Linked DNA regions of Ovis aries. The protein of the gene in region 1 interacts with the protein of each later gene in a biochemical or structural test. Links are inferred from orthologs where the notes say so. Each region holds a gene or a part of one and is shown in the gene's direction. Other genes may lie near its edges.

The links. The genes of interacting proteins can lie anywhere in the genome.
Region 2: of the proteins of STAT1 (region 1) and PRKCD, one has a biochemical effect on the other in vitro, tested with the Homo sapiens proteins (2 studies listed by BioGRID). The link is inferred for Ovis aries from reciprocal best matches to the Homo sapiens genes STAT1 and PRKCD.

Annotation. Positions count from the first base shown.
Region 1 is NC_056055.1:193,229,021-193,232,520, reverse strand, and holds part of STAT1 (signal transducer and activator of transcription 1-alpha/beta), read left to right. Parts: intron 1-148; coding exon 149-190; intron 191-1,735; coding exon 1,736-1,819; intron 1,820-2,448; coding exon 2,449-2,547; intron 2,548-3,500. UniProt on the Homo sapiens protein: Signal transducer and transcription activator that mediates cellular responses to interferons (IFNs), cytokine KITLG/SCF and other cytokines and other growth factors.
Region 2 is NC_056072.1:47,855,499-47,858,998, reverse strand, and holds part of PRKCD (protein kinase C delta type), read left to right. Parts: intron 1-80; 5' UTR 81-99; coding exon 100-214; intron 215-1,346; coding exon 1,347-1,546; intron 1,547-2,831; coding exon 2,832-2,892; intron 2,893-3,057; coding exon 3,058-3,220; intron 3,221-3,318; coding exon 3,319-3,350; intron 3,351-3,500.

The DNA of each region.
Region 1 (3,500 bases):
CCACAGGGTCACTTCACCTCCTGTTCTGCATCCTCAAAATATTTTCACCTCCTTCATTCTAAGTCCCCACTTGTTTTGATTTGTAGATGAAAGTAGCAACTTTGAGGATTATTATATAGCTATTTACTAAGATTTTTTTTTTTTGTAGCAACTGAAAGAACAAAAAAATGCCGGTGCCAGAACTAATGAGGTAAGTCTTTTTCTGTCGTGACTGGTCTCTTAACTAGCAGCTCTGTCCAGTGAGCTTGGCTCCATGGCCCCGGCGGTCCCGGGTGGCCAGGGACAGCTCACAGAGGGCTGAGCAGTGGGAAGACCAGCAGGCGAGAGCGGCAGGCAAACTCTGGGGCGTGGTGCACGTGTGGCAACAGTAGAACCACTCTGTGCTTGTGCTTTCTGGCTGTCCAGGGATTTTGCCCGTGAATTTTCTAGACCCTCACCAGCAGCCCAGCAGAATAGGTACAGTGGGCTACTGTGTTACTCACATTTCACAGGTGAGGAAATTGGACCGCAGGAAGTTTGCAAGAGTTAGCTAAGCGTGCACAGGAAGTAATTGTCAAAGCTGGAATCAGAGGCCAGCTTCATGACTGCCCTGCCAAAAACTGTGTGTGCCCTGTCCAGTGCCGTTATCCTTCTGTCAGCCCCCTCGTCACAGCTTGTCCTTGAAGAGCTGTTTGGGATGCATTCAGATATGAACCATGGGCAGAGGACAGACTGGCTAGAGTTGCTTTGGTTTGGTTGGATTTTGTTCTTTGTGCCTGCCTAGCACTCTGTCCTTCCCTACCACAACCAGCAGAGGGCGCGTGGAGCTGTGGGACAGGTGCCCGCCTGGGCCTGACCAGCCCTCATTTTTGGATCTTGACTCTTAGTAACCAACTAGGGACTAAATTTCCTCTCCCAGGAGCAGGAATGGAGTCACACCTCTCTGGTTCTAAGGTTGTTGTGAGGCTCACATTAGATAATGTGTGTGAAGGCACTGGGAACACAATAACCTTTCCACCCAAACCAACCAAGGCACTTTATAACCTGCCAGGCTTATGCAAATCTGCTCTCCTGGCAGATAATCACACTTGGAACATGTGTACACTTTCCACCCCTTGTCAGCCTGAGGTGTGCAGCCCAGGCCAGGCGGGTCCATGGTGGGCAGAGGGGACCGAGGGCCAGGAAGCCTTAGGTTGTGAATAAACTCATTAGAAGTTGCTATTTCCCTAAAGACATTTTTTTCCCCTTAATCCATAACCCTTGCCAGAATATTAGAAATCTGGTCTTTGAGGGAACACTGAGATACTTGGGATAATTAAATCTGGGATAGATTATTAAAAGCTGCTGCTGCTAAGTCACTTCAGTCGTGTCCAACTCTGTGCGACCCCATAGACGGCAGCCCACCAGGCTCCCCTGTCCCTGGGATTCTCCAGGCAAGAACACTGGAGTGGGTTGCCATTTCCTTCTCCAAAGCATGAAAGTGAAAAGTGAAAGTGAAGTCGCTCAGTCGTGTCCGACTCTCCGTGACCCCATGGACTGCAGCCTACCAGGCTCCTCCGTCCATAGGATTTTCCAGGCAAGAGTACTGGAGTGGGGTGCCATTGCCTTCTCTGTATTAAAAGCTAGAATCTTCTAAATTGTGCCTGATTGGGCTCATGCTTTCTGGAGCTTGTTAAAATGCTTAGTAGTTTCTTGCTGATTGCAGGATCAATGAACGAATCACTGTATTCGTTTTTTTCCCGTTTTCTTTTTTAAGGGTCCTCTCATCGTCACTGAAGAGCTTCACTCTCTTAGTTTTGAAACCCAGTTGTGCCAGCCTGGTTTGGTCATTGACCTGGAGGTAGGACTTACATGTTCCAGGATGGGAAACTTTATTTTCACTTTAAACTGATGCATGTATTTTAATTTTAGACATACTTATCTAATTGCTAAAAAAAGACTGCTGTTTTCAGCCATTACTCTCTCAATGCTAATTTCATGGTTCCGTCTGCCAGAGAACTCAGTTAACCTTTGTCTGAAGTGAAAGTTGCTCAGTTGTGTCCGAATCTTTGCGACCCCATGGACTATACAGTCCGTGGAATTCTCCAGGCCAGGAAACCGGAGTAGATAGCCTTTCGCTTCTCCAGAGGATCTTCCCAACCTAGGGATCGAACCCAGGTCTCCCACATTGCAGGTGGAGTCTTTACCAGCTGAGCCACAAGGGACGCTCCAATAAGCCAAATGTTCCCGTTGAGATGTCCTGTGTTAATTTTTTTATAAGAAGCTTTGACATTAATTTCTTAATTGAAAATATATGTCAAAGATAAATCCAACTAAAAACCAAAGACTGTACCTTTACATTCTTAATTTTTAAGAATAAAATATACGCGAATGTACATAGGGTTCCTTGTTAGTCTGTGAGGCTGCATAGTGGTCTGCAGGTACTGTTTCTGGGTTTCCGAGGATTTTAAGGTCTTTGTCATCTTGTAGACGACCTCTCTACCTGTCGTGGTGATCTCCAATGTCAGCCAGCTCCCAAGTGGCTGGGCCTCTATCCTGTGGTACAACATGCTGGTGGCAGAACCCCGGGTAAGGAAAACACATCTACTTTCATACCAGGGTTTAAAGACCCCCCCCCCCCCCCGCTCTAGTTCTGCATATTTGAAAGAGCCTATATGGGCCAGATGTTGGGGGAAAAGTGGCACAACTCAACTCATTGCTAAGGAGCTGAGTAATTCTGGAATAGCGAAGCATTCCAGAAGCGTGTGTATGTACTAGAAATTAAAAATTATGATTTTCCTTCCATGTGAATAAGCTTGGGCAACAGATGATTTTGTGTTATGCTTTTTAAAAAATGTATACACTTGCTAAACAAGGAGGGTCTGTTCTTAAGAATGCGGATACTCATGGTCAGTTAGTTTCAGTTGATTCCAGTTATTCACTGTACTTAGGTTCTTTGAAGTCACTGTGAACACTGATTTAGCGGATACTGAATCACTGTGCCTAAGGGAAGTATGGGTTCCCGTCAGCCTCTGGCAAAACCCTTGCATCTGCAGATCAATACATCACCTTGTTTTGTTCAAAGATCCCTTATCTAACATACTTGTTCATTCATTAACATCGAACTCATGGCAAGCAGCTTTATAACTCAGTCTGAACAGAGCTTATATATCATGTACGTTGGCTCCTTAAGGCATTTAGGAACACTAGACAGCACTTCAACTCGCCTCTGAGGGGCATATTTAAAAATGAAATCGCCAGCAAAAAAACCTCCAGAAATGCAGAGACCACAGCATTAAACAGATCTCAGAGAAGACACTCGGGTGTAGTGTGAGAGCCGAAACAGGAAGGCAGAGCATAGCTTTGTTTGACTTCAACCGGAAACACATGTTTGGCGACTCAAAGTTTTCACGGCTCTGTGCCTGGGTATGTCCACAAATGAGTGCCAAAGTGCCACGAATATTGATTCGGGGGTTAAATTTTAGTGAGTAGAAAAATGCACAGATATGAGTCTGCAAATAGAACTATTTCTCTTCTTCTGC
Region 2 (3,500 bases), on another chromosome or scaffold:
GGAGCTCTGAGGGTAGTGGGTACCTGACCACCCTCCCCAGGCTGCACCTGCCGCCTGCCTCAGGTCTTCTGTCTCTGCAGCCCCACTGCAGGCCCCAACATGGCACCATTCCTGCGCATCTCCTTCAACTCCTACGAGCTGGGCTCCCTGAAGGATGTGGACGAGGCAAGCCAGCCCTTCTGTGCTGTGAAGATGAAGGAGGCTCTCAGCACAGGTAGGGCTAGAGGCTGGACCCCACCCATCTGCAGCCACTGGCAACAGGGAGTTGCCAGTGGGGCAGGGAATTCAGAGCCAGGAGGCGGCGGCAATGGAAGGAACTGTGTGTTGTTCTCCTAGAACCTTTGAGGGATCCTTCTCTTCCTTGTCTCATCTCCCTGCCCAGCTCACCTGGCAGTGCAGGACCGTAGAGACTACCCACTTGCCTATAGGACCTCCTGCACTGGCTATACGGAACCTTCTCTGGGGCCCAGGGCTTCTGGTTCCTCCCCATTTGTTGTTTTGCCCAAGAATGGGCTCCTTGCAGGAGCTCCATGTGTCCATCTGTGCCAGGCCTTGTGCTGGGAACAGAGGACAATGCCATGCTTCAAGGCTGACCAGGTTCTGCCCTCATGGGGCTCACAGTCAGGTGGGGGAGCCAGACAGTGAATCCTGTGATAGGGAAATCCAGACGAGGTCCCATCCCAGGCTGCAGTCAGGGAGGGCTTCCTGGAAGAAGCAAACATCTCACATCATTCCTGCTTGCTTCTGTCCTTTCCTGGTGAACCCTTGTCATCCTTTAGGTCTCAGCTGAGCTGTCCCTTCCTTTAGGAAGCCTTCCCTGACTCTTAGGCTGAGGCAGGCCACCTGACCATGGGTAGGTCTAGACCCACTGACATTGCCCTCTTCAGTCTCATCACAGCTACGATTTAATATTCACTTGAGGGGTGAATGGATTCATGTCTCTGCCTAGGACTGGGGCTCTAGGACGGGCACCATGTTCTTTGCCTCCAGTATCCTGTCTGGCATGTGGGAGCCCGCAGCAGTGTTCACTGAGTAAATGCGTAAGGGAAGGTGACATCTAAGAGGGGCTGGAGGAAGAGGGTCACAGGAGAAGGAAGTAGCAAGAACAGGCTCAGGGAGGAACCTGCTGGGGGTGCCCTCATGGAACAGCCGGTGTTTTTCTGTTCTGGAACAGATCGTGAGTGAGAGGGTGAGGCGTGCAGAGCACAGTTGTGAGGGCTGAGGGATGGGGACCTGGGCCCTCGGGGAAAGAGCAGGCAGATTCCACAGGATGGAAGGCCATGGGGAGGTCAGGGAGGGAGGGACAGAGGGGCCTAGCCCTACCTCGCCTGCCTGGCCCGTTGCAGAGCGCGGGAAGACACTGGTGCAGAAGAAGCCCACCATGTACCCTGAGTGGAAGTCCACGTTCGATGCTCACATCTATGAGGGCCGCGTTATCCAGATAGTGCTGATGCGAGCCGCTGAGGAGCCAATGTCCGAGGTGACGGTGGGTGTGTCAGTGCTAGCCGAACGCTGCAAGAAGAACAATGGCAAGGCCGAGTTCTGGGTGAGGGGCGCAGCCACGGGCACACAACGTGGGAGGGCAAAGGGAGCGGGGATGGCCAAGGGCACCCCAGGCTCTGGCCACCAACAACCTGGGTTTGAATCCTGGTCCTGCGAGTCATCAAATCCTTAGCTTCTCTGAGTCCGTTTCTGAATCTGTAAAAGAAGAACCTGCTAAAGAGACCTACCTTGGGGTCGATTGTTCTAAGGAATGGAAAGCTGAAGGTGAAGGGCTTACTGCAGCACCTGGCCCTTAGGCAGCTCTCAAGAGAGCCCTCCTATTGTTGTGGCTGATTTTTTTTCCCTTTTAATTTTGCAAAGGCAGGATGTACAGAGTTAAACATCTCAAGCTGTACAAAAGGGCAGCTCTGGCCCCAACACCAGGCCCCAGTCCCCACTTCCCAGAGACCCCCAGTGTTCCCAGTTCTGTTTGGAGTCTTCGCAGATATTCCAGGCCCGGGCAGGCACTGGGGAACACCAGTTACGATCTTCCACAGCAAAGGGGTGGGGAGCAGGATCATAGCCTGCCACTCACCTGCCCAAACCTGGACTTTGCACCCACATGTGGCCATGTGTCCCTTGTGACCACAGGATACCCATGCTGGCAGAGCATCCCTACCCCCTGGGGTTACATGTGGGCTCCTGTAGCCAAGATGCACCCCCCCCCCCCCCAGGAAAGACCCTGTGACCATGGAGACTCTGCTCAGCCTCCTGTGAGGGGTGAAGGAACTGGCCAGGACAGAGGTTGACCTGGGGCTGCACCCAGTCTTGAATAATCAGGCAGAGACACCTCATGTGTCTGTCCAGTACCCCAATGGACACAGTCGGGCTCCAGGCCCTGGGTCTGGGGAAGCTGAGGGTCCTGTCCTAAGGACCAGCCAGTCTGTGTGAGGAGACTGGCCACAGAGAGAGAGAGACCAGCAGCCCATTTCAATGTGCGTGTGCCTATGTATGTCTGGGGGGTGGGGAGGGGTACCTACATTCTAAGATCCTTCTGAAGGGGGTGGCCAGGGTTGAAGGTGGGGAGTTTCCCTTCCCACTCTGTTCCCAGGGCCATGTGGCCAAGCTGGGTGTGGGCTGGATCCTTTCACTTCCCCAAATGTAATAATACCCCAGGATGAGGGGTGGGGGCGGGGCTCAGGGGTGGGGCCCTGCCCACTCTGGGCAGACAGGTGGCCAACCGGAGGCCAGGACTCCCTGGGCCTTGAGGGACCAACCATGGGGGCGGGTTCTGAGTCTGACTTGGCCCAGGCCCGCCCTCATTGACTCCCTCACCCTCACCCCTGCAGCTGGACTTGCAACCCCAGGCCAAGGTGTTGATGTCAGTGCAGTATTTCCTGGAAGACATAGGTAAGCCCCTCCCTACCTGGGCTAGAGGTGGAGGTTCAGAGGCCAGATGGAGGTTTAGGGAAGCAGCCTCCATCAGTGGTCTGTCTGGGACTGCTCTGGGAGGGACTGAAAGGGTACGGCCCCTCCCAAGGGCCAGGGTTGACTTCTCTGCTCACTGGCCCCCAGATTGCAAACAGTCTATGCGGAGTGAAGACGAGGCCAAGTTCCCAACAATGAACCGCCGTGGAGCTATCAAACAAGCCAAAATTCACTACATCAGACACCACGAGTTCATCGCCACCTTCTTTGGGCAGCCCACATTCTGCTCCGTGTGCAGAGAGTTTGTTTGGTGAGACTGGTTGTGCCCACCAGGGTGGGGCAGCAGGAGAGAGAGCCCCCATCCCTGGCCTTCCCCACACTCACCTAGACTGGTCACTTGCCTTTCAGGGGTCTCAACAAGCAAGGCTACAAGTGCAGGCGTAAGTGTCTCCGTGGCCCAGTGTGTATGCGCATGTGTGTACACGTGTGTGCCTGTGTGCATTCACAGCAAAGTCTGTGTCCCTGTGTTGGGATGGTGTGTTTGCAAGAAGCCTGTGTGTGTGTTTGCGTGTGTGGTGTTCCAGGCGGGT